Callithrix jacchus: one gene and its partners. The protein of the gene in region 3 interacts with the protein of the main gene of each other region in a biochemical or structural test. Links are inferred from orthologs where the notes say so. Each region holds a gene or a part of one and is shown on either strand. Other genes may lie near its edges. The genes, in order: ERBB3, PDGFRB, NCK2 and LIMS1.

Region 1 (3,437 bases), on a different chromosome or scaffold from region 3:
CCGGAGGGATCATCCATTTAAAGGCCTCCCAATCTAGAGGCTGGACTCCTTAAAGAAGTAACATGACATTGTTCCAATAACAGGCTGGATGGAGCACTTAAGGGAAGTGTTCAGAAAGACAGATGTTTGTTGAGAGCGCTTACTGTGAAAAAACAAAATAAAAAGATTTGGTGACTTTTCTAAGAATGAATTCAGAAACACGTAGAGGTTTCAGTATTTGGCCTCTGAAGGAGACCGGACACGTATATAGTGCTTTTTATAAGTCCCCAAGCACGTGGGTTATTTGTTTTTGTTATTCTCAATTGTTTTTGCTTTGTAGATTCCTACTAAAACCCCAAAGGACTATAAGCTATGCTTGTTCTAAAGAAATACAAGTAATAATAGGACTAGAGAAAGCTGCATGGGACGGAGTAGCATTGTCAGAAGACAGAAAGGTGACTGTCCTCTGCTGAGGAGATCTATCTAACATATGAAATGTTTTCATTTGACAGACAGGAAGCTGAAAAAAACTTTGGCATTTTTATTCAGACATGTATAAAAACAAAACATTTCAGTGATACAACAGATATTTTCCCTCAGTTCCCCATCCAAAGGAACAGAGGCGTGAAACTGGGTCTTCTTTCTATCCTACCTGGAAGCTTCTTACTGCTGGGATGAGAATGGCTCCTAAAAGTGAATCTTGGGGGAATCCTTGTGAATCTGCCCTCAGATAAGGAGTAAAGATCATTCACAGCACGTGGGTTATGGTTTACACAAAGATGTCCAGTTATTTTTCCTTCTGACTACCCCCACCACCACTTCCTGAGATGAGATGTCTTCCTATATGAGGAGGATGTGGCTGTTGGGGTTAGACTTGATTCAGTGCAGACAAGAAACGTTGCCCCTTACAAGGGCTGTGACTTAAATCAGTTTTCCTTGGCACTTACAGTTAAGAGCACATGCACAGGAATTGGGAGGATTTTGCATTCTGGACCTACTGCTTAATTAATCTCTTTTAGGCTCAGTTTCCCCCCCCTTCCCCATTAGAGATGGTGTCTTGCTATGTTCCCTAGGCTTATCTCTAATCCTGGGCTCAAGTGATCCTCCCATTCTCAGCCTCCCAAAGTGCCGGGATTGAGCCACCACGCCCGGCTTCCCTTTTTTGTAAAATGAGTTAATATGTATGTCACAGAATTGTTGTAAGGACTAAGTGAGATAATGTAGGTAAAGTTTAGTATGATGCCTGGCTCATAATTAAGTGCTGAATTATAAAAGTAATCAATATCTACTCCTAACCTTTATCTCCACAGATTTTAACCTTCTGTCTTTCTAGGGGGTTAAGAGTCATAAACCAAAATTATACTTTTCTCTGCTAGGTTTCCTCCCTTTCCTCTTCCTGACAGTCTGATGGGAAACAAAGGCACATCTAGGAGCCTAGTTCCAAGTAGTCAGAGCCTGAGAGGAAGGGATATGGAGAGTAATCCTTCATATCTCCAGAAATACCTGTGAGGAAGCTGAGGAATGGGATTGAGAAAGCACACAAAATAAGGAAAACCTCCTTTCCTGGGGTTGGGAAAGAGAAGAAAGTGCACAGCTGGCTATATACCATAAGAATTTTGTGTCAAATGTTTAAAAGCCTCCAAAGGTTGAATGGAATTGTCTGGGACTGGGGAAATGGGGCTGAGATCTGGGAGAGAGAGGGAACAGGGAGAAGAGAGTACCCTCTAAAGGCACTAGCTGCCATTAAATGCTCCCTGAGTGCCACAGGGAGCAGGGGTTATGTTCTCTGCGCATTAGCCTTGGGGAAAAGCCTGCTATGCCAGTAATCAGGGTTATCAAAGGCAGAGTCTGTAGCCTCTAAGCTACGTAGAGTTTTTAGGCGGGCATAATGGACGTGAGGGGCCTGATGTCCAGGCCCCTGAAAAGCTCTCATCTCTTCATACCCTTGCTCAGATGCTGGGCAGGCCCCCATGGCTGCATAATCACCCCCAGGACCACCTCCACCTCGTTGCCGATTCATATATTCATAATCTTCATCTGGAGTTGTGCCAGCAGTGGGCATGATTGGTACAGGGTGGAGTGGGCAACTCTGTGTGCTGCCCAGAGAGGCACTGAGGTCTGACCCCACATCCATGTACTCATAACCCAACTCCTCAAGGGAACTTGGCCTAGGGGGACGAGGTGGGCTGTGCCTTCTCCGGTTCATGTATTCATACTCCTCATCTTCATCTTCTTCTTCAGTACCCAGGACAGAACTGAGACCCACTGAAGAAAGGGTGCCTTCCCGGGAGGAGGGAGTACCTGAGGGTAGAGAAGAAAGGCTAGGTATGCGAAGAACCTCATGGGGGTAGGGGAAAGTTTGAAAAAATGAATAGGATAGAGAGGCATATCATCAGAGAAGACAATAATTTAGAGGAGCCTGGGGAAAGAATTCGAGGAAGAACTGAGGAAAGCCCTAGGAAGAGCAGGCACCTTTGAGGTGTGTATCTGGCATGACATAACCATTGACATCCTCTTCCTCTAATCCTGGTGGGGAGAGAGGGGTGACAGGAGTAAGCAGACTGTGGCGCTGGGAATGGTAGGCACTGTCTCCACGTGGCCGTGGGCTCCGGCTCCTGCTCCGGCTCCTACACATTGACACTTTCTCCTGGAGCTCAACCTCAGAGCCTGTTACATGGCCCTCTGATGACTCTGATACCAGGCGTCCCCGTGGCATTGGGTGCAGAGAGACTGGACGGGGGCACCATTCACTGCCCTGAGAAACTGCAGACTCCTAAGAAAGAAAATAAACCAAAAATAATGCAAGGAGATTTACACAGATCAAGAAAGAAGTGACATTTGTTTAGAAGGAGATTGGAGGCTGGGCGCGGTGGCTCAAGCCTGTAATCCCAGCACTTTGGGAGGCCGAGGCGGGTGGATCATGAGGTCAAGAGATCGAGACCATCCTGGTCAACATGATGAAACCCCGTCTCTACTAAAAACACAAAAAATTAGCTGGGCATGGTGGCACGTGCCTGTAATCCCAGCTACTCAGGAGGCTGAAGCAGAATTGCCTGAACCCAGGAGGCGGAGGTTGCGGTGAGCCGAGATCGCGCCATTGCACTCCAGCCTGGGTAACAAGAGTGAAACTCCATCTCAAAAAAAAAAAAAAAAAAAAAAAAGAAGGAGATTGGGTTGTTCACTACCTTTTTTTTGGGGAGGCGGGGGATGGAGTCTTGCTCTTGTTGCCCAGGCTGGAGTACAATGGCACAAACTCAGTGCACTGCAGCCTCCCAGGTTCAAGCAATTCTCCTGCCTCGGCCTCCAGAGTAGCTGGGATTACAGGCACCCACCACCATGCCCAGTTAATTTTTGTGTTTTTAGTAAAAACGAAGTTTCACCATGTTGGCCAGGCTGGTCTCGAACTTCTGACTTTGTGATCTGTCTGCCTCAGCCTCCCAAAGTGCTAGGATTATAGG
Region 2 (7,945 bases), on a different chromosome or scaffold from region 3:
GTCACACACCTGGGAAGTGGTGGAGCTGGGTTGAAGCTGCCAACATCAGAGTCCAGACATTTAATTCTTGAGTGTGCCACCGTGCTGTGGGGAGGGCAGTGTGGAACCCTACAGCCCAGAGCCCCCCCTCCCACTGCACCTCATCCAAGTCCACCTCAGGCAGGGCTCCTCACACTTCATCCTCTGCCCACCTACTCTCAGCCCAGCCTTCCCCAGGACAGCACTGTCCAAGGCTGGACTGGGCTCCCCAGATCTGGGCAGGTGTGAGGATGCTCATAGCTTGTCCTGTCCACAGTGGGGCTGGGGGCCACTCTGACCACCCCAGGGTAACAGCACTGCACTGCCCATGTGCCCCGTCCATTGTCTATTTCTTCAGAGTGCACACAGGGAAACCAAGGCCCAGAGAAGGGAGGGCTCGGCCCAGGAGACACTGTGTTGGAATGCTGCTCAAATGAGGGAACTCACCATTTCAGTAATAAGACTTCCAGGCAATGTACTAAGTCCTTCTTACAAACCTAAGAGGCTTATGAATCAGTCTTTGACTTATCTCCATTTTCCAGAGGAGGAAACCAAGGCCCAGGAGTTTCAGTGACTTGCCTAAGCTCATGTAGCTTGAAAATGGAGCAGCTGGGATTCGAACCCAACTCCATCTCTAGCTCTCCAACCTCCCCTCTCGATCATGACACTTTTGCCTCCATTGTCCTGCCCTTGGCGAGTGCCCTGGGGTGCTCCCTGTGGCTCTGCACCTCCCGCCCATATCTCAGTTGAGAGGAGGAGGAACAGTCCTGGTGCCCACCAAGGGTTAATGGTGGTAGGGGCTAAGTAATTCCAGATGGGCCTTAGGACGGCTGGGCTGGCCGGAAACTGGAGGCCGCCAGCTTCCCAGGGGAGCCACCGCCAACTGCCCCTCCCCTCTGTGCTGCATGTCTGGCCCCCAGCTATACCCCCGCCCTAGGGCACACCATCCTCCTCTCTCTTGCTAGAGTCCAGCTCTAAGGTAAATTGCAGGCAGAACATCCCAAGAGCCTGTTGCCCAGCAAGTCCATCCCTGCTATACACAGTTAGGGAAACCGAGACTCAGGTAGGACAGGGGACCTATTCAAGGCCTCCCAATAAGTCTGTGGCTAGGTCTTCTGACCCCCAGACTAGCTTCTTTTGGGACTAGGGGTTGGTGTGTCTTCTATGTCAGTAAAAGAAGTCCTTCAAAGCTTAGTTGATGATAGTATGGTTGACTGTGAGAGGATCGGAACTTCTAATTATTATTGGGCTTTTCCAAGTAAAGCTCTTCATGCAAAGAAGCGTAAGTTGGAGACTCTGAAATCTCAGTTGTCTGAGGGAAGCCAAAAGCATGCAAGCCTACAGAAAAGCATTGAAAAAGCTAAAATTGGCCGATATGAAACGGAAGAGCGAACCATGCTAGCAAAAGAACTTTCTTCACTTCGAGACCAAAGGGAACAGCTAAAGGCAGAAGTAGAAAAATACAAAGATTGTGACCCACAAGTCGTGGAAGAAATACGCCAAGCAAATAAAGTAGCCAAAGAAGCTGCTAACAGGTGGACTGATAACATATTTGCAATAAAATCTTGGGCCAAAAGAAAATTTGGGTTTGAAGAAAATAAAATTGATAAAACTTTTGGAATTCCAGAAGACTTTGACTACATAGACTAAAATATTTCATGGCGGTGAAGGATGTAAATTTTAAACTATTATGTAAATAAGTGTACTGAATTGTCATTTGCCTGTAACTATATGTAGACTTTTGTTAATGTTAAATAAAGTGCAAAATGCAAAAAAAAAAAAAAAAAAAAAAATAGGTCCTCTGTGGCTGTCTTGGCCACAGAGGTTCAGCCAAGGCTTCAGAGGTGAATGGCCCAGGCAGATGCTAGGAGGAGAGTTGTACATTTCTGACGGAGTCTTTGGGCACAAGAAATCCCTGTGCTTGTGCCCTGTGGGATCTTTTCACATTCCCTATGACCCTGCTGCCACAAAGACCTGGCCAGGCCCCCTCTCTTGGGTACTCTTATCGTCCCCACCCCGTGGCGGGGAGCCAGTCTGAAAACACTTCTTTTTCCGTGTGGTCCAGGCCAGATTCTCTGCTGGGCAATCCCTATTGGGACTAGACCAAGAAATGATTGCAAGATAGATGATTGTGGTTGGCATGGAATTCCAGCTCAGGCAAATGCCCTGCTCTGTGAACATGGGCCTGGGGGAATCTGAGGAGGAAGGACTTAGCAGTGCAGAGGGGAGAGTGGAAGGAGGGCAGAGGCGCCTCTACCTGTGTCACCTGGGACACCTTTCTTCACCCTCTGGGATTCAGTTCTCCATATGCACAGTAGTGGGAGCAGGGATGGCGAGCCCACAGTATATGCCCTTCTGAAATAATGCCCTTTGCCATCCGCGGGCTAGGAGTCTGTAAATGAAGATGTCCTTGATCTGAGAAGCCCAAGGTGGAAGAAGAGACCCAGCCCGGGGCACTGGAGGAGTCTTGGCAAACCCTGGTGGGAAAGGAGAGCCAGAGAATGGAAATGGAACAAAACAGATACTTGAAATTATCTTGTTGAGTGACTGAAGGAAAGAGCCACAGGGGGAACCTAGGAAGAAAGCAGGGCTGGGGGCTCATCTACACTGGAATCGGGGAGTCTTGGGTGGGGGTCAGATGAATTGTGTCCCTTCTATCATGTGACTCATGAGATCTAGTTCTGCCCCAGCTCTGCCATTGCTGTGTGCGCTTGGAAAGCTTATTTTGCTCCTCTGGGACTCAGTGTCCCCTTCTATAAAATGGGGTAAATAATCCTCTCCTTGCACCCAAGGGGCTTTGAGATTCAAAAAGGAATATGTCTGTCAATATCCGGATATATCCAATCTGTGCTGGGTGACCTTGACCAAATCACATTCTCTCTCTGTGCCAATTCACCCCTGGGCCTTGGTTTTTCCTTCTGAAAAATGACTGATCAGCTTGGAGGATCTTTCCATCTCTTCCATGCCACCTCTTCTCAGCAGTGCTCTCTGATTCTCTCAGGCCTCCATTAGGAGTCCCTCTAAATGCACTCTCAGCTTTCTGTCTGCCCACCGGGTACCTGCTTGCCCACTGAATGTCTCACTCACTAGCCTGGGTGCTTGAGGTCAGGACCATGTCTTACTACTGTGTCCTGGCACTCAGTACAGTATTGGAAGGTAATAAGTGCTCAGTATGCTTGCTCAATGAATGAATGTTGACTGAATCAACCACAGAGATGATCAGAATCTCCTTTATAGATGGGGAAACCGAGGCACTGAGAAATGACTCTCCCCTGGGTGTCATGAAAAGGGGAGGCCACCACCCAAGATGGGCATTGGGCAAGTGGGGCCCAGGCCACTCTTTGATAAAAGTGACTCAGCTACTGGTGGCTGGCGTGGGCTGTGGAATTTCTAAGCATCCCCTCACATCCTGAGAGAACGGGCGACGAGAGGGAGGCAAGCAGAGGGAAAAGAAGAAAAACAAGAAACTTGGGGGAAAAGAAAGAGAGGGGAAAAAAACTGAAATTGAAAACAGACGCACGCGTTCACCCTCCCTGCCCCACTGCCCCCCTTCTCCCCAGCTGGGCCAATCAGAAGCCACCCTGCAGCCTTTCCCCCAAAGTGGCGAGGGGGAGGGGGCGGGCGGGAAAGCCCACGGTGGTGTGAGTTTCTGGGGCTGCCAGCAACCAGCAGTGACCGCCCGCCCTATCTGGGACCCAGGATCGCTCTGTGAGCAACTTGGAGCCAGAGAGGAGATCAACGAGGAGGAGGAGAGAGCCAGCCCCTCAGCCCAGCTGCCCAGCAGCAGCCTGTGCCCGCCCTGCCCAACACAGACAGCCAGACTCAGGGCGGCCCCTCTGGCAGCTCTGCTCCTCCTGGAGGATGCTTGGGGAGTGAGGCGAAGCTGGGCTGCTCCTCACCCCTGCAGCAGCCCTCTCCCTCCGTCCCTTCCTTCTCCTGAGCCTTCAGGAGCCTGCAACGGTCCTGCCTGTCCTTCTACCCAGCTATTACACACTCTGGAACCAGCAGTCTTTCTGATAACGGGGAGACAGCAGTAAGGAGGACTTCCTGGAGGGGGTGACTGTCCAGAGCCTGGAACTGTGCCCACACCAGAAGCCATCGGCAGCAAGGTAAGTGCTGGGAGGGGTGGGAACCCTAGCCCCATGCCCTGTCCCTTTGCCCTAGCCTGTGTCTCTTTGAGTAGGTAAAACAAATGGAATATATTTTGAAGAAAACCGGATGAGAGGAGACTGGGAGACTGTGGGTGATGTCAGGGCTGGAGGAGCCAGTTCTCTCCTTTCCCCTGCTCTGGGGTGAGGGGCCTCCACCTCATCATCCCTGCTGCTCCTGCCTTCATAAAACAATCCCCAGGGGTTTCTGAGTGCTGAGTGGGGGCCTCCAAATCACAGCACAGTCAATGGGGGGGTTGGCAGGAGAGGGGAATTGGGAGAAGATAGGCAGGTACACCGAAAGCAGGGGACGAGGACCGCAGGACCCACTCCGCAGTTCCAGTTCTCCAGTTCGTGGCCCAAGCTGTGTTTCTAAGAGTCAGTCTGGCTTTAGGCCAGTCAGCCGCCAGGCAACCTTTGGAGATTTAAATGGATTTGCAAATTTTCTAGATTCCTAAGATATCCTTCTAAACCCCCAGCAGCTAGAAAAGTTTGAGGGCTAGGAAAGTTTGAGGGCGATGGGGGGCCATGGCAACCCCCTAGTGGTCATGCTGCTGGGGCTGGGGTCTGGGGTCTGGGACCTGGCCATCAGATCTGGGGACTCCTCTGTGAAGTAGGGGTCAGCCACTGGCCATTTCCTTTGGCCCCAGGCAGCTGCTCAGACCTCCTCTTTGTCTCCCTCCTTCTGGACTCTACCCCTTCTCCATGCCATTCTAAAGCATAAATCTGATCACACCACCTCCTGCCCAGGATCCGCCTGTGGCTCCCCAGTGCCTGGAGAAAATCCCAGCTCCAAACAGAGGCTGCCACTGATTGATACTTACTGCACGCCGCGACTGCGCTGAGTGCTTTATGAGGCTGATATCATGTCATGCTCACCAGCAACCCCAGAGGCAGCGACTGTTTTTACCTCCACTTTATACATGAGGAAACTGAGGCTCACGCGGCACATAACTAGCCACACATCTAGAAAGTGGTACAGCCTGGAGAGGTTGGAAACTGCTTGTGCCCCATTACTCCAAACTTGGGCCTTTTGTTCCCTCCAGTCAGATCCCAGCATTCCCAGAAGGAATGTGTACTATCCTGCTTGTGGGCATTTGCCCCCCTCTTTTCTCCCTTCCTGGAATGCCCTTCCTCAACACTTTTCTTTCAGGGGTATTCTGTACTCCACCTCTTCCAGGCAGCCTTCCCAGGTTCTTCCTATCTTCCAAGTGCTAGCCATGCATTTTGTGCTGAAGCCCTGCCACTTGGCCCTCTCCTGTGAGTGATCTGTTTGTGTTTTGTTTGTTCATCGGAGATTGTTCAGGCCCCAGCAGTCAGACCTGAGGCTGCACTTTCTGCTGGGGAAAGGTTTTACCATCCTGTGCTCTGCCCCCAGTGCCCAGCCCTGGGTAGGCAGTGGGGCTGAGACGTCCTGGTGAAAGGGAAGAGGAGCTCACTGAAGACCTGCTCCCAAGTGTGAGACTAGACCAGCCCCCCAGCCTTCGCTTCAGGTGCCCCTGCAGGACATCGTGTGGCTCCTCCAGGTGGCATTTCTCCATTGCAAGCAGGGAGGAGTATCTCTGCTTCCCTCTGTGACCCCCTGAGAGCACAGAGGCCTCTAGTGACAAGTTCTGAAGTCATGCAGTCCACCACCGAGACTGTATGTTCCTGAATGCTGTGAATTCAGGGTCCAAGCAGGAGACCCTGAATTCACAGCATTCAGGACCATACAGTCACAGTGGTCCCTGTCCCTGAACACCTAGCCCATGCAGGCATAGAGCCTGGCACCTCCCACACCTTGGAATCCTCATGGCAAGTTTTTGAAATCAGTGTTATGATCTCCTTGTAGATGAGGAAGCTGAGGTCTGGAGAGGTCAGGTGACTCTGCCAGGGCCACACAGTGGGTTGAGGTGGTGTTTAGGCTGAAGTCATTCTGGCCCTAAAGGGGCCTTGTGCTCCCTGGGAAGCTCCCAGTCAGAGGGAAGAATCTCCATCCTCCTGCAGAGCCTGCTCCTGGCTTCAGCACCTTCCCCAGCAAAAGTGCAGCCTCAGGTCTGACTGATCCAAGGTCCGCCCAGGCCCTGGCTTGGTCCTGAGAGAGGAAGGAAACCATCTGGTTAGCACCCTTCTCCCAGACAGCAGTTATCAGCAGCCCCCCTCCTCTGTGGGAAGAAGAGCTGGGACTTGTAGTTGCCCACAGATGTGGGGCGGGCAGCAGAAAGCACCGTGGACCAAGAGTCAGGAGACCCAGTGCTTGCCCTGGCTCGACTCAAATCCACAGTGTGACCGACCTCACACCCCTTACATCCCATCTCTGAGCTGCTTCCACAGCTGGGAGGCAGTGAGCACTGTGGGTAAACAGCACTAGGCTTGGGGGATCAGATGACTATACATTGACACTGAGTCAGTTTCTGGCTGTGTGACCCTGGGCCAGCGCCTTGCCTCTCTGGGCCTCAATCTCCTTCTCTGTGAGCAGCAAGGCCACATGTGGGCTCCATGAGACAACAGCATTGGCAAGGCGCTGAGCACAGTTCCTGTACTTCACAGCTGGACCTCTGGCCACTGGCTGAGAGAGCCACTGCTCTCCCGGCCTCCTGCATTGGACCACTTGACCATGATATTAGTCTGCAGCCTGCAAAAGGCTCTGCCCATGGAAGGCACAGGGACATCATGCATGTCCTAAAGATCTGTGTCCATCCTCCAGGCACAGGCCACAGTCTGACTCTGAGACCAGCTGCCTCCTATGCTAAAGGAGGGTGGTCTGGGCATGTGCTGAGAACAGGCTGCTGTTGAGTGCACTGAAGAGGGAGAAAGTGATGAAAGGGTCTTCTGAAATGCCTACCCATTTCTTGCAATTGATTCAGAACCCAGTGGGCAGTGTGTTCTTGGAATGGGAATATTTTTTCAGTGCCTTCGTCTTATGACCAGAGTGTTAGGAGGGAAGGGAAGGGGTGTTGGGCCCCTCCCCAGGGTCAGGGCTTATAGCACCTCAGCTAGGAAGCAGTGTGAGCAGGATGATATAATAGGAACCAACCTGTCCTTAGCAGTTTCTGTGTCTACTTCAATTCTGCTTTACATCCGATACCTTGAAGTTATTGCTGTATTCCTCAGCGCCTAGAACATGCTTAACATTCAGGATGTTCTTAATAAATACTTACTAGATAAATTTAAGCATTACAGCAACCTCAAAATTAGATATATAAACTCTCCCCATTTTTTTTTTTTTTTGAGATGGAATCTTGCTCTGTCTCCCAGGCTGGAGTGCAATGGTGTGATCTCGGCTCACTGCAACCTCTGCCTCCCGGGTTCAAGCGATTCTCTTGCCTCAGCCTCCTGAGTAGCTGGGATTACAGGTGACCCCCACCATGCCTGGCTAATTTTTGTATTTTTAGTAGAGACGGGGTTTCACCATGTTGGCCAGGCTGGTCTCAAACTCCTGACCTCAAGTGACCCACCTGCCTCAGCCTCTCAAAGTGCTGGGATTACAGGCATGAGCCACTGTGCCTGGCTAAACTCTCCCTATTTTACAGCTGAGAAAGTACATAGTCAGTTGCCTAAGGTCCCACAGCTCAGAAGTGGCAGAGCCAGGATTTGCTCTTGGGTGTTTCTGACTCCAGAGCCCCTTGATGAGAGGCTGGATGGGGCCTGGGATGCCCCTGGGGATCCAGTGTAAACCCTGAGAATGTGCCTCAGCTGTGGGGGCCCTCAGCATTTCGCAAGTAGTCATCAGACCCTAAAACCCTATGGACTGTCCACAAGTCGATCCCTCTTGGGGCCTCAGTTTTCCCATCAGTCAA
Region 3 (7,885 bases):
CAGATTTACAAGAATGTCAGAGGTCTCTTAACACTCGCATCTCAGTGGGAGGCTAGAGCCCCAACACTGACAGGCTGGGAATTCAGTATTCACGTACATATTCAATAAGTATTCGTAGCACACCCATTGCGTATAAGCTGCGAGACCAGTCTACCCTCAAGGGGTTCAGAATCTATTAAAGAAAAGATGAATGCAAAAAAAAAAAAAAAAACCCATATGGCAGGACATAGTGGCTCAAGCCTATAATCCCAGTATTTTGGATGTCAAGGCAGGAAGATCACTTGAGCCCAGGAGTTTGAGACCAGCCTTCTGTAGAGACCCTGTCTCTACAAAATAAAAATTAAAAATTCACTGGGCATGGTGGTACACACATGTAGTCCCAGCTACTTGGAGGCCCAGGTGGGATGACTGCTTGAACTGAGAACTTCAAGGAGGCAGAGAGCTGTGATTGTGCCACTGCACTCCAGCCTGGGTGACAGAGTGAGACCCCACCTTAAAAATATTAAAAAATTTTTAAAAACTGTAGGAAAGAAGGTCATAGACGACAAATCAGGTACACAAAGAATGTGCTGTGGCGGTTCAAAGATGAAGCCATCCCTGTAGCTGGGAGTTGATAAGATGTAGAGAAGAAAAGAAAGAAGAGATGACCCATGGGAAGAATAAGAACTCAGGACACTGAGGGGGCTGAGCCAAGGTGGAACACAGAGGCTGGGCAGGGAGAGTGATGCTGTGTGACATCACTGTGACACTGCTACCTCAATCAAAATCACTTTCATTTCCACAGTTTCAAGGACTGAGATTGTTGAGGTAGGAATGTATGTGCCAGCACACGTGTGTGCAGCTGTGTATCACTTGGCAGAGGTATTACTTGCTAACGTTCATTTACCTTCAGAAATAAACATACTTTGGGATATGCTCAAAGGAAAACGCAGGAAAAGAAAAAAAGAGTCTAAATTTAAACTAGTTTTGCTTTCACTGCATACTTTTACAACCAGTTAAAAGGCTGTCATGACCTTCTTCTGAGTTGCTTTAACTCACAGATGGAACACCACACATGAAATCATGTTTTAGCTTAGGCCCTTTGAAACGTGCCATGAAGTATTTCCATCACCCATTTTAGGAAAGAGAAAGCATTTGGAAGCGCCACTCGCAATCCCTCAGAATGGGAAAACTAATTTCCTAAGCCTCTGGAGTGAGTTGTGGGGAGTTTCCAATTCATTTGTGAAAAAAGTTAGCTTACTTGTTTTCCCAAACATCGCTCATCATCCTCCCCTGCAGTTCCAGCAAACAATTTTGAGCTCTTCAGTCATTAAGCTTCATTTTTAATATCAGAAAATAATTTCCACAAGCCCCGTCTCCCCCAGTGCACACAGCAAGCCAGTCTGAGCAGTCAGAAAAATGGGTGTCCCATAGAGCAACACAGCCTGCTCTAGCCAGGGCAAATTAAGCGAGTGCAAGTGATCAAGTAAAGGAATCCAGCGCATTCTGTGCCATTCAGGGAGTCTTAGGGTGTTTTTAAAGGTTATCCAGTCTGTGCACAGTCAAGGAGGACTTCCAGTGTATTTAATATGGATGATAGTGCATTTCTCAAATATGGTACTGTGTACATAAGATCTGCTGTGTTTTGGAAAAGCTAAATAACCCCAAATGTAAATGACAGTGCCTGGGTAAGTACAGCAGGATCAAACAGAGAGAGATGAAGAAGATTTAAGTATGTAGTGTGTCCTAAGCAAAACACAAAGCCTGAAAACTGAGCACAGCTACCTGAAAAGGGCCTTCAGCAAGTCCCATCGTTAATAGGGTCAGTTTCTTCACAAGCGGACAGAGGGGTTTATGCAGCAGCCAACTTTCCCTGATGGTAATTTATGACCCAATTTCATCCAGTGTTTCATGATCAATCCCGTTGAATGTTTATGAAGCAGGAAAGAAGCTCAGAATCCATGCAAGGCCTCCAGGACAGGAAGTGGGCCAGGCACCTCCACAGATTCCCATGGCCAAAGTTCTTAATTTCAGCATCAAGTAGCCGCCAAAAGAGCACTAAGATTCTGCCACCGTCTCCAGTCAAAACTACATCTAACCAACCTCCAGGGGAGAAAATACTGAGGTAGGATTTTCCCTTGTGGTCACTTCTTCACAAGCAGGGTTAACACTTGCTTCGCAGGAAATCCCTGTTTCAAACATCAAAAAACCTACATGTCTAGCCCAATCTCCAGATGAAATGCATTTCTTCTCCATGTGTCCCATGACTGCCGTTCTCTTTACAGAAACCTCACACTGGCTTGAATCCTGTTACTAATTCACCCGTTTATGAACGCTTGGAAAGTGAATTGAGGGAGTGTTCACAAGCACAGTTCTGTACTGTTAAGTTAAAGCAGCCCAGGTTAATTTCATTTTCAGTCACTTTTCAGATTCGATAACTACATCCAAAACAGAAGCATGAAACACAACCTGAATCACTTTCATTCCTACACAAAATCCTTTCTGAGAAGCAGGGACTGGGTCTGGGGCCTGGGCCAGGAAGGGACTCCTCTACCTGTGGGTCCCGAGCAAGCCACGCCCACCGGCTTCTCTGGCTAGTTCCTTTCTGGGTCTAGGGAGGGAGCTGGCCAGTGCGATATTTTAAGCCCCTCCTGCCCACACTAGGGCCTGCTTATCCCATTATGCAGACGCAAACTTGGCAGAAGCAACCTTAAACCTGTTGGTAAAATAAAGCCAAATCTGCCAACCTGAATTGTCTGAAGTGGCCAAGGCCGACTCCATGCACGCTCGGCTTTGTCCCTGAAGCTGTTACAATATTAGTTTAAGTCAGGTGCCTGGGGTCCACCAGCCAATGACCCCTAGCATCCAGCGCAGACCTTCACAGAGATCCTTACTGTCTACAAGTTAAAGTGTGTGGCAAATTAAACCCCTCCACACAATGCCAAGCTAACTGTGTTTGTAAGGGAGTTAGGGTGCCTTAAAACTCACATATCAAATGTTTCCAGAACCACTCGGTGGTTAAATCGCCCTGAAAGAAACCGAAAGGCCGAGCGATTGTGAGAAACTTTGGTTCAGGTGGCTGTAAGAGTCCTGTAAATCTGGGGCAGGGCGCACAGCCTGAAGCAGGGCACAAAAGCTCCCTTCGCCGACGCGAGGACCTCCTTTATGCGATGTGACAGCAGCTTTGTGCGCGATCATAAATAGTTGTAATAAACACAGTTAAGTTCTCCCGGCCGATCTCGGCCTCCCGCGTCCCTGCGCCGGGGCCCTGAGATCCCCGGCTCTTCTTCCCTAGCACGCGCGCCCTGGCGACCCTGGCCACTGCACGGTCCTACGCTAGCCCCAAGCTCCGTGCCAGCCGCCGGCCAGCAGGCCAAGAGCTGCCTGCACACCCGGGGGTCTCGAGTCCCCGGGCCCCGCCGCCGGGCCCCTTGCCCTGATCCCCGCCTGCGCCCTTGGCGGGCGTCCCCGCCCCTGCGCCGGCCCCCGATGGCGGGGGGTGGGGACGGGAAGGCAGGCAGGAAGGTGCCGGGCCAGGAGGAGCGGGGCAGCTCGCGGTCGGGGGTGCCCAGGCCGCGGCGGGGCCGAGAGCACCGGTGGGGCGCGGAGTGGACCCGCTCTCCCAACCCCTGCCCGGGCGCGCCCCGGCCCGAGAGCCCCGCTAAGCTCCCAACTCCGCCCAACGGCCCCAAGTTTGCGGCCCCCGCCCCGCTCCCGCCGTGCCGCGCTTACCTCGCCGTGGGCCGCCCGCGGAGCCGGAGGGCAGCGGCGCGGGTCCCGGGGCGGCGGCCGCGCTGCGCCCGCCCAAGCGCCGCTCTTTGTCTGCGCCGCTCCCTCCTCCCGCCGCCGGGCGGACGCTGCCGGCCCGGGCGGACCCCGCCGGCCCGGGCGCCGCGAGCCTCCCAGCCGCCGAGCCCTCCCCTCCGCCGGCCGCCCGCTCGGCCGCGCGGCTCTGGCCTGACGATCCCGGCGGCGGCGGCGGCGGCGGCAGCGGCGGCGGCGACCCTCCCCCGGCGCTCAGCGCCCGCCTCCTCCGCGCTCTTCCTCCTCCTCCCGTGCTCCTCCCCGGCCGCGCCGTGACGCCGCCCAGGGGCCGGCCCAGGCCCGGGCGCGCGGGGCGGGGACCCGAGACCCACCTGGGGCGCCCCCCGGCGCCACCAGGCTCCGCGTCTTGGGTCTCGGTAAGCGCTCCGGGATAGAGCAGGGCTAGGGGACGCTCCGCTCTGCAGGCGCAGCGCGGGCCGGGCGTCCGGTGCAGGAAAGGGTCCCTACGCCCGAAATTGCGCGCGGGCGGTGGGTGGGGAGGAGAGTGAAAACCCAAGTGGTAACTTCCAGCCTCGGATGACTGCCGGGTGGGCTTTGCGTGCTCTTTTTTGTTTGTTTCATGTTCTTATCACGAAGCTCTAGTTGCTGGGCAGCCGCCCCCGTCCCGGAAGCACTCCCACGGCAGTCAGCGAAGCAGGCCTGTTGTCCATCAGAAAAGTGACTTGTATAAAAATGTCACTTCCTCCCTGTAATTGCTTGTGGGCATTTTTATTTATTTGCCTTGCATCTATTTACTTTCCCAACCAGACACGTTTTTAGTCCATCATCCCGTCCGAGGCACTCCCTAAAAGAAGGAGAGGAAACTCGACCTCTGTTGCCTCGCAGGCATCCAGGCCAGCCCCAGCCAGTGGAATCCTGGTTGCACACCCGTGGGGCAAAACCCGAAGAGGAGCTGCCCGAATGGGCCCCTAGAAGGTGGGTGGCTAATAGTGGGACCGTTCAGCCCACACAGCCTCGAGTTGTGGCTAACCTGTAAACAAACTTGGAAGATTAAAACCCAAGAGCAAGGGGAAAAACACAAGCTTCCCTTTCACAGGCACTTTCATCCGGATGTCTTTGCTCCTCCCCATGTGATTTCCCAAAGGAAATTCTAATATTCAAATAATTCTGATTTTCTGGCAGGATAGCCTGCATCCATGTTAATAAGATTCTTTCTTAGGCTCCTAATCTCTGCTTACTATTAAGGCAATAATAACTTACCCAAGATTATAAAGCAGTATTATTTGACTCACTCATCTCCTGCCTCTTCCAGAAAGGAAATACCCTAAGATAGGTAACTAGAGGCAGTGTAGCTTTGCAGTCAGACAGGTGAGTGACTATTGACTTCCTGAACTGTGTAATTTCACACAGGTGGGCCTTATCCTTTCTAAAATCTGTCAAATGGGGAGTTTTTTGTTTTTGTTTTTGTTTTTTTGAGACAGTCTTGCTCCGTTGCCAGGCTGGAGTGCAGTGGCATGATCTCGGCTCACTGTAACCTCTGCCTGCCCAGTTAAGTGATTCTGCCTCAGCCTCCGGAGTAGCTGGGACTACAGGTGCCCGATCCCATGCCCAGCGAATTTTTGTATTTTTAGTAGAGATGGGGTTTCACCATGTTGGCCAGGATGGTCTCGATCTCTTAACCTTGTGATCTGCCTGCCTCAGCCTCCCAAAATGCTGAAATTACAGGTGCGAGCCACTGCTCCCGGCCAGGAGATAATATTTACCTATCTCCTATGTGAAGTACCCTGGCAGTAGGTAGCCCTCAATAGCTCAATAAGTGGAAGGAGGCACAGTACACTGAGCAGGAATCAGATATAAGCTCAGGGAATTGGGACAGCGTTTTTTTTTTTTTTTCCTTTGTTTTGACCTTGTGAAAGAAGCTACTTCAGTTCATCCTTTTGGAAAAGCCTTGTGTTAATAATTCCTAGTTTACAATAAGGAAAGAAGAATTCTAGCCTGCCCAATTTTAAATTAGTTTTCTCAAAATAAGCATAACAATATTGACCTAGTTTTTAGCTTGTTTGCGTTGTAAACTTTCAATGAATCATGGTTCTTGAATGACTTTTCCTTCTCTGACTTTTTAGAAAGTTACCGATGTCATTCTTAATCTAAATCCAGTGGCTTTTTGTCAATATCTATGCAGTTTTCTAAAGTATGTGGCATTTCTGCTATTTCCTGAAACACCATCATCTTTTCATTCATCAAACACAGCCAGTTCTGACTCTCTTACCTTTCTAACCTGCCAGTCTCTGCCTCCCCTAGAGAGTTTGTTGTCTTCCCACCCTCTAATAGTTACATCCCCAAGGCAGATAGTGGCCCTTTATTTTTATTCTGATATACACCTTTTTATTTAAGAGAGAGAGAGTTGACTATTTTTTGTTTGCACCCTGTCTAAACTTTCATTGATTAACTCCCAGACCTGTAGCCATAGAGGGCTCCCCAGTGAATCTGCAGAGCTCCCCAGCGAATCTTCACTTCCTACACATGGCCCAGCATCTCTTCTGGGTCACCATGTTCAGAATGAAAACTCCTCTCCTTCCCTGACCAGCTCCTCCACTCACAGTTTCAGGCACCTCAGCTCCTGGGAGAAACCTCAGTGTCATCTTGGCTTTTCCTTCCCTGTCTCCAAGTTGTCCCCAAGAAAAGCCAGGAGAGGACTGAATGATACCAAGACCCCTTGCAGTCTATCCCCATGGTAGAGTACTGGTGATTCTTAAACATCTTTTTTACTACATCTTCCTTTCCATTTCCATCACTGGCATCCTAACTTATACATCATTCCTAGCAAGACTCGTAATGTACGTTGATTGAGTTCTTGACGGATGTCATCTCTAATCCACACACTATAGTATTATCCCTATTTTACAGATGAAATCACTTCAATAGTAGATCAAAGAACTGGGGTCAGAACTGCACATACCTGACTCCAAAACTCTTGTTCATTTCCCCACACCTACTGCCTTCCAACTGATCTCCCATTACTTCTTCTATCCCTCAGATTACACTGGACATCAATGTCATCCTAACCTTCCTACAAATTGCTTCCATTTTTCCCTGGTTGTGCTCAAGAACTTTCCATGACTCTCCATTGCTCACCACGGTCTCCTCAAAAGTCATCTGATGACAGAAGACTGAGCATTTTTCCCCAGGGAGGCTGGGGGATTTCGCCCTGAGAGGCCTGCTTTAGTTTCCTGGGGACTCCCTTAACAAATGACCGCAAACTAGGTGATAAAACAGAGGCTATTTTCTCAAAGTTCTAGAGTCTGAAATGAAGACACCAGCCTCTCTCTGAAGGCTGTAGAGGACACTCCCTTCCCTGCCTCTTCCAGCTTCTGATGGCTGCAGGTGTTCCTTGGCTTGTGACCCTATCACTCCCACCTCTCCTCTCTGTCTTCGCAGAACCACCCAACCTGGTTCCCTGTGTCCTCTCCCTTCTCTCTTTTCATAAAGACAAGTTATCATTGAATTTAGGGCTCACCCTAATCCAGCATGATGTCATCTTAACATTCTTATCTTACAACATCTGCAAATATCTTTTTTCCAAATAAGGTCACATCCTCAGCTTCCGGGTGAGCGTATCTTTTGGGGCCAATATCCGACCCACTGCAAGGCTCAGTATGGGGGAGACATTTCTTTGAAGCTTATGTTTTATCTGAAAATGTATAGGTTTTCCTGCATTCTCCTCCATTAATGTGTCCACATCTGTTTTGCTGTCTTCAATCACAAAGTATTGAAAGCATAAAAAACAGAGAGTGGAAGGACGCACAGTACACTTTTGCCTAAAATAGCATCAGCATTACACCTTATGATCTCTCTTCCAAAGGCCTCAAACTTAGCTCTATCATACAGTCTCCTTTTTACCTCTGTAAATAAGCTGTTTGCTTCAGTCACTCAGCTCTGCCCACAGTGCCACACTGAATCACACTAGTTTCAGCCGTCTGTGGTGTGAAGGCGGCTGGGAATTCCCTGTCCCGCTCCTTCTGTTTCAGAGCTCCATTCAAGGCCATCTCTAACCCCTCTTTGGACTCATGGGAAACACAAAGCAAAGGTTGAAGGTGCTGCCGAGTCAGACTTCAGAGGCGCAAAGCCTACCTTCAAGCCT
Region 4 (7,386 bases), about 4.6 Mb from region 3:
CCTGAGTAGCTGGGACTACAGGTATGGGCCACCACGCCAAGTTGATTTTTTTTTTTTTTTTTGTCAGATGGGGTTTGGCCATGTTGTCCAGGCTGGTCTCAGAATCTTGGGCTCAAGCAATCTTTCCACCCTAGCCTCCCAAAGTGCTGGGACTATAGGCATGAGCCACTGTGCTTGGCTATGCTGAAATAATATAAAACATAACTTAGAACATAAGTTTTAAAAAATATCATATTTTAAAAAATATAAAACAACACTTATAATTTAACAATTAAATGATTTTGGCAAAGAAACAAAAAAACCAGGATTTTAAAAGCTACAGTTATTAGACAAAAATCCTTGAAAACTTTTTCCAGGGTCTATTAAGAGATTAGAATTCTTCCCTTTAAATCCATGAACAAAATAGAAATGTATAACATGGTGTTTAAAAAATGAGGTGAGTGAGTCTACAGAGTAAGTGAAATATATGACCACAAACCTGTATTAAGTATGGAGCATATTCATTTAATATTTGTAATTTTAGTAATTATGCAAAAGGACCAACTCTAAAGAGGACAAATGCTTGTATTTCAATCTCTGATGACTACAAATACATGCCCAAAAGTTGTGGGGGTAGGGGGGAGGAAGAAAGCAAAAGGCAGAAACAGAACAAAAACATATTCCAAAGGACTAACCAAAGGAGAAAGTAGTGAAAATGATGACAGAGGGATAGAAAAGTTTACAAACAGACTGGCTTTTTCTTTTTCTGCTTGTCCTTATCCTTTGCTTCTCTCTCGCGTTTGGCAAGTCGCCTCTTAAATTCTTCTGGCATTTTCTCATAACAGTGTTTGCAGACTGGCTTTAGGTCAATTTCAACAAATTTATCCCTTTAAGCAGGACAAAGAAGGAATAGAAGAAAGAACAGGGAAAAATTAAAGGAAGACCCTTTACTTTCAGAAGGCGTGAACAGAAAGAGGAAATAAGAAATCAAATAATTCTCTTTTTCTAGGATTTTTTTAAGTGTCACCCCAAAGTTTTCAGTCTTAGGATTCACATTGGACAAAACCATAGACTTACTTGAGTGTTAATTTAGTGTTGCAGGTAGAACAGGCAAAGCAGTTCACGCACCAGGCCTTATTAAGAGCAGAGACCACTAGACAAAGAGGAAAGAGATCTGGTCACATGGAAATACATCAGTATGGGGAGCAGGGCAGCTTAGAATTTCAACTCTAAAACAGAACTATGACTGCAATGACTGTGTCTGTGGCACCTCGGGGAGACCCTTTTTTTTTTTTTTTAATGAGACAGGGTCTTGATCTGTTGCCCAGGCTGAAGTGTGGTGGTGCAATCTTGGCTCACTGTAGACCCAACCTCCTGGGCTCAAGTGATCCTCCCATCTCAGCCTCCTGAGTAGCTAGAACTACAGGTGCATACCACCACACCTGGTTAATTTTTTTTTTCTTTGAGATGGAGTCTCACTCTGTCGCCAGGCTGGAGTGCAGTAGCATGATCTTGGCTCACTGCAACCTCTGCCCTCTGGGATAAAGCAATTTTCCTGCCTTAGCCTCCTGAGTAGCTGGGATTACAGGCATGCACCACCATGCCCAGCTAATTTTAGTATTTTTAGTAGAGATGGGATTTCACCATGTTGGTCAGGATAGTCTCGATCTCTTGACCTCATGATCCACCTGCATCAGCCTCCCAAAGTGCGGGGATTATAGGCATGAACCACTGTGCCCAGCCTACACCTGGCTAGTTTTTTATTTTTTGTAGAGACAGGGTTTTGCCATGTTTTCCAGGCCGGTGTTGAACTCCTGGGCTCAAGCAATCTGCCTGCTTCAGTATCACAAAATACTGAGATTACAGGTATGAACCACCATGCCCAGCCAAGAACCTCTTTCTTGAGAGGTTCTTTTTTTTTTCTTTGTTTTTGAGACAGGGTCTTGCTCTGTTGTTCAGGCTGTATTGCAGTGATGTGATCACAGTTAGAACTCCTGGGTTTAAGCAATCTTCTCACCTCATTCTCCTGTGCAGCTGGGACCACAGGTGTGTGCCACCATGTCTGGCTAATTTTTTATTTTTATTTTGTAGAGATGGAAGTCTATGTTGCCTAGGGTGGTCTTGAACTCCTGGTCTCAAGCAATTTTCCGGCCTTGGCCTCCCAAAGTGCTGGGATTACCGACGTAAGCCACCATACCTGGCCCTCAACCTTTATGTGTACAGTTGTTCCTCAGTATGTGCAGGATACTGTTTCTAGGATGCTGTGCAGATACCAAAATCTCAGATGCTCAAGTCCCTGATATAAAATGCACATAATCTATGTACACTGTCTCACATACTTTAGATCATTTCTAGATTATAATGCCTAGTACAATGCAAATGATATATAGTCATTATACTGTACTATTTTTATACTGTTATTTTTCTCTAAATATTTTTGATCCATAGTTGGTTGTATCACCAAATGTTTGGATCCAGCCCTTGGATATGGAGGGCTGACATTAATCTTTCCCTGTTCTTAAGTATCCTATGAAGGTGTAAATGATGTGTGCCATATCTTACACCAGCAACCATGCCCCCTTGGCCCAGGCACATGTGGTGACTGTCCATGCATGATATTGGTTAGGTGAGCTTGGTGTTTCTGTACCTACTGCTGTTGGCCCAACAAGGAAATATGAACTAGGTAAATAATTTTGAAAAATCCAGGCATTAACGTATTTGTCTGTAGGAGTCTTTTTTCCAGAGCTGATGATAACAAGAAAGTTTGCCTTGTAGCTCCTTTTACCTGGTGTCTGTTTCACAGAGGAGGGAGGTAAGTTTTATTTTCAATGGCACTGAAGATTGTTTTCCTGGACTAATCTTTTCACAAACTGCACATGAACAGTGTTTCAAAAGTATTTCCTGAATTAGGTGATGTCTGCAGGGAGCCATGAATCATGCTGAAAACAGGATTGTTCAAAACTTTGCCAGGAAGTCTCTGGCAGAATTGTGTTAGCAACTGTTAGCAAACACAGCTGCTTCCTTTCTGTTCCAGTCAATCAGTCCAACCTAATTACCACAGTACAAGGGGTAGTAAGTCCTAGATGTGCTTGCTGATAACTGCCAGGTTTTAGCATGTGCAAGTTAAAGTGCCTCTTCCTAACTACATAGCAGATTAAACTGTTCCTAATAAATGTTGTTATGGAGCTTCCTGGAACTGGACAGAAACAGGTCTATGGTCCACTAGGGACAGTTCCCATGATTGCTGGCATACAACACTGTGGCAGTGGCTGAAAGTAGTATCATAAATGAGTAACAAATCCAACTCTTTGATATTATCATCTTACTGCTACAGATTACTTGGGAAATACACCAAAGAAAGAGAAAAAGCAACTGATAACGATCACATTCCAAACAACAGCAATCACCAACCTGAATTTCCACATGGCCCAAGTGTTTCTGTGTCAAAGTGGTACCAATCTAAAACTCACACAGATACTTACCATCACCTTCTATAACACGATTGCAGTGAAAGCAAACATCACCAAATAGCTGAAAATAAAAAAAAGGTGGTTCAAGATGTGTTAGAATTAAGTTTTACAATACGGAACATTTAAAAACAAATAGCTGGTTATCTAAATCAAGAATTTATCACTACTGGAGAAAATTAGTAAAAGTTCTTTGACAAATTTTTACTTTTTACAGTGAAAACAATTCACTTTCATCAATTAAAAAAAAATCTTTCCAGAAGACAATTTGAGCACCCAAATAAGTAATGTGAAATATAGAAATCTGTGAGTATATATGGATAGGAAACAGATAAATGAATAAACTTATAGATGGCAGAGGAGGTAGGTTCTTGCTCAGGCAGAGCGCTGAGGACCAGACTATGGGTGGAGAGTGTGGGGCTAGAGAACTGTCATTTGCAGCTGGTGCAGAAGCAAGAATCATAAAGGTGTGGTGGGTTGATGAGAAACAAGACATTTCCATGGTCATAAAATGATGGCCCACAGATTGCTTCCTTCTTACAAAGGAGTGAAGGAAATTGTAATTCATAGTGATATTATCAGCTAGCACTGTGCCTGGGAGATCACCAGCGCAAGAGAGGTGATTATGAAGGGCTCCAGGGACAAGGCTCTGAGAGAATGCACTGCTACTGTGTGAGGCTGCAACCTGCTGTGTATAACCTCATCTAACCACAGAGAAGCAGCAGTGGAAAGCACAGAGAACCCAAGTGGAAAGTAGTCTATTAAAAGGGGGTAGGGGCCCTCTGCATCCTTCCAAAATGTCAATACCATCAAAAACTTAAAAAGGCTCTGGAAATGTTCCAGATTTAAGAAGGCTAAAAAAACATCACAACCCTAGACTGTTTTTTCTAGGAGTAGAAAAAATTGCTGTGAGGACATTATTGACTCAAGTGACAAAACTAGAATAAATGGGTTAAAGTATGATATCAATACTGATAACTACAATTATGTTAGAGAGTCTCATATTCTTGGGAAATACATATTGAAGTATTTAGGGGTAAAGGAGTATGATGAATTTATTGGCAAATGCTTTAGAAACAGCCATCATATTTGTGTATAATATTTATGTAAGTAGGTGTTTTACACAGCAAGACTGAGCATAGAAAATGATAAAGTAAACAGTGGACTTGAATGAAAAGCATACAGGTATTCTTTTTATTTTTTATTTTATAGTTAGCTTCTGAGTCTGAAATTATTTCCTAAATAGTTAAAAACATCTCTCCTGAACAATGTATATCTTCCAAGAGATTTCCTTGTAGCTAAACTACTGATAAGCAAAGTTCATAAAGTCTATCTAGCATCCAGTGACTAAGGTCAATACCTGGTTATAGTGGGTTTCACAATATGCCAGGCCTTTCCTCTCATAATGGCGATGTCCAAGGAACGGTTTCTCACACTTGGCACAAACAAAATGCTGAAAAAAAATTGCTATAGGTCATTTTTGATTTGCCATATTTTATATCTAATAAAATAAACCACAAAGTTAACCTATCTTCAGAGAAGATGAACGAACGTTTGAGATAGTCATTTGATTTGGCCATAGGTAGCTCCCTAATATAATACTTTTGCAGTTTTAATTCACGTGTCTATCTTTGACAGGTTACTTTAAGACATAGCCTATTACAATAGCCCAAAAAGAGCAAATAGATGAGTACCCCAGTAGCACCTATAAAGGAGGAGCTGCTGCTGGATACAGACCATGGCACTTCCTGCTTCAGGAAGGCTTTAGGTGCAAAAGTCTACATCCTGTATCATTACTGAGAAATTCACAAAAGCAGTATATATTCTATATTCTGAACAGTCAGCAAGTCAGTTGTCTTTAAAATGTCCATGTTTAACCTTTAGAATCTCCTAAATCTTGCCAGGACACCTGAATCATGGAGATTTGAAAGTACTGGTTACCCCTAAATCATAGAGATTTGAAAGGATTGATTACTGCTGAATCACAGAAGTTTGAAACGATTGGTTACTCTCAACTTACCTCCACATGCCACTGCTTGCCCATGGCGTTCACTACGCGCCCTTCAATGGGCCGTCGGCAAGCACCGCAGATGGGGACCCCCATTTTATCATGGCATGGCAGGCAGTACAGCTCCCCTTTGAGTTCCCGTGCATCAGCAGTCAGCTCCTTCCTATTCGTGAGAAAGACACCCAGCTTAATACCAAGAGAGAAAAATAGCCAACCGATAGGGCCAGGACAACTTTTAAAAGGTTTTTAAAGAGATTACTATGACAATCCCTGCAAATTTCTTTTTCTCCCTTTAGAGGTGATCAGAGTAACCTGAATTAATAGGTCCGAATAGGTTTCAGATTCTTACCAAAACATCTGTATCTTAAAAGGATAAGATGCAATACTAGGTTAGATATATACCACCACACCAGTCATATTCATCATTTCTTTCTTATATAATCACATTACATTTATGTCCATTTGTCTTCCTTTAAAAGCTATGGGGAATAATCACAGTGCTGAGGGTAGATTCAGTAATACTACCTGCTGTAGTGTGAATGCATCCCCCAAAGTGCATGATCCCCAATGCAGGTGTCAGGAGGTAGGGACTCTAAGGGGTGATTAGATCATGAAGACTCTACCCTCATGGATGGATTAATGCTGTTACTGAGGGGGTGGGTTCCTTATAAAAGGACAACTTCAGCTTTCTCCCTTCTCTTCCTCCCTTTCCCTCTCCTCCCACCCACTGTGTGATGCCCTCTGCCATGTTATGATGCAGCAAGAAGGTCCTCACTAGATGCCAGCCCCTTAATCTCGGACTTCCTAGCCTCCAGAACCATGAGCCAAATAAATTTCCGTTTGTTACAAATTGCCCAGTTTGTGGTATTCTGTCATAGGCACGTAAAAGAGACTAAGACACTACCTTTCCAAGCAAACTGAGAAGTTGATAGACTAGTTCCATTTACTAACAATTATTTAAATTGTCACAAGCTGTTGAAAAGAGCTATAGGTTAATCGGTTTAGGTTTATTTTCATAAACACATGCCCATAATTTTCCTTCTCCAAATACTCAAATTAAATATTATTTTCACTCTCCTGCATCAATAAACATTTGGTCAGAGATGGTTCCAATTAGTCAAATGGACTTGTTTGAATTTCACCCCTTTGAAGTAATTCTATAGGAAAAGTGGACAGAGGAGAATCTCCCAAGAGGAAGGATAGGCAAGAAAACAAGATACAGCACAAACTGATAATTCAATCACAAAAGATGAAATGGCTGAACTTATACCACCAAACAGTTTTCTTAATATTTAGCCTACTGTTTCTTCTCTATCCCTAATATAATTTAGCATGTAAGTTCACATTAACTACAGTAAAGAATCTTTATCCACTAAATTTTTACTATGAATTTAGAAAATTCATAGCCCAACAATTTATCATAACTTTTTGAAGACAAAAAATTAAATAATTTCTTTTAGATGTAAACCAAGCCAAAGTAAATATAACACTGTATTTTAAGATAATACCTAATTATTACAACTGTAAAAGTAATGCATGTACAGAGATAAGACCTTTTTTTGAGGTTATTTTTGGATCTTCTATTGGAAAAACAGTGATAACAAATAGTTCTGGGGATATTGGGGGTATTTTAATATGGACTGCTAGTTGATATTATAAAATTTTTGCTAATTTATATGGTAAGAGTACTGTGGTTCTGGCCAGGTGCAGTGGCTCATGCCTGTAATCCCAGCACTTAGGGAGGCTGAGATGGGTGAACTGCTTGAGCTCAGGAGTTTGAGACCAGCCTGGGCAACATAGCAAGGCTCCATCTCTACAAAAAATTTTAAAAAATTAGTCGAGAAGGGTGGCATGTACCTGTTGCCTAGCTACTCTGGAGGCTGAGGTGGAAGGATTGCTTGAGCCCAGGAGGCTGAAGTTGCAGCAAGTGAT

Evidence for each region.
Region 1: the proteins of NCK2 (region 3) and ERBB3 form a complex in vitro, tested with the Homo sapiens proteins (2 studies listed by BioGRID and IntAct, with this or other methods). The link is inferred for Callithrix jacchus from reciprocal best matches to the Homo sapiens genes NCK2 and ERBB3.
Region 2: the proteins of NCK2 (region 3) and PDGFRB form a complex in vitro, tested with the Homo sapiens proteins (2 studies listed by BioGRID). The link is inferred for Callithrix jacchus from reciprocal best matches to the Homo sapiens genes NCK2 and PDGFRB.
Region 4: the proteins of NCK2 (region 3) and LIMS1 form a complex in vitro, tested with the Homo sapiens proteins (4 studies listed by BioGRID and IntAct, with this or other methods). The link is inferred for Callithrix jacchus from reciprocal best matches to the Homo sapiens genes NCK2 and LIMS1.

What each region holds. Positions count from the first base shown.
Region 1 is NC_133510.1:63,567,254-63,570,690, forward strand, and holds the end of ERBB3 (receptor tyrosine-protein kinase erbB-3), read right to left. Parts: intron 2,753-3,437; coding exon 2,452-2,752; intron 2,281-2,451; coding exon 1,757-2,280; 3' UTR 501-1,756; downstream 1-500. UniProt on the Homo sapiens protein: Tyrosine-protein kinase that plays an essential role as cell surface receptor for neuregulins.
Region 2 is NC_133503.1:48,865,324-48,873,268, reverse strand, and holds the start of PDGFRB (platelet-derived growth factor receptor beta), read left to right. Parts: upstream 1-3,688; 5' UTR 3,689-4,127; intron 4,128-7,945. Other genes in the region: meiotic nuclear division protein 1 homolog, read left to right, coding at 1,150-1,668. UniProt on the Homo sapiens protein: Tyrosine-protein kinase that acts as a cell-surface receptor for homodimeric PDGFB and PDGFD and for heterodimers formed by PDGFA and PDGFB, and plays an essential role in the regulation of embryonic development, cell proliferation, survival, differentiation, chemotaxis and migration.
Region 3 is NC_133515.1:15,808,960-15,816,844, reverse strand, and holds the start of NCK2 (cytoplasmic protein NCK2), read right to left. Parts: upstream 4,327-7,885; 5' UTR 4,116-4,326; exon of another isoform or gene 4,060-4,115; coding exon of another isoform or gene 3,199-4,059; intron 1-3,198. Other genes in the region: uncharacterized protein LOC118147454, read left to right, coding at 3,199-4,059. UniProt on the Homo sapiens protein: Adapter protein which associates with tyrosine-phosphorylated growth factor receptors or their cellular substrates. Maintains low levels of EIF2S1 phosphorylation by promoting its dephosphorylation by PP1.
Region 4 is NC_133515.1:20,415,687-20,423,072, forward strand, and holds part of LIMS1 (LIM and senescent cell antigen-like-containing domain protein 1), read right to left. Parts: intron 5,618-7,386; coding exon 5,467-5,617; intron 4,900-5,466; coding exon 4,807-4,899; intron 3,511-4,806; coding exon 3,462-3,510; intron 1,133-3,461; coding exon 1,057-1,132; intron 867-1,056; coding exon 719-866; 3' UTR 675-718; intron 1-674. UniProt on the Homo sapiens protein: Within the IPP (ILK-PINCH-PARVIN) complex, binds to F-actin, promoting F-actin bundling, a process required to generate force for actin cytoskeleton reorganization and subsequent dynamic cell adhesion events such as cell spreading and migration.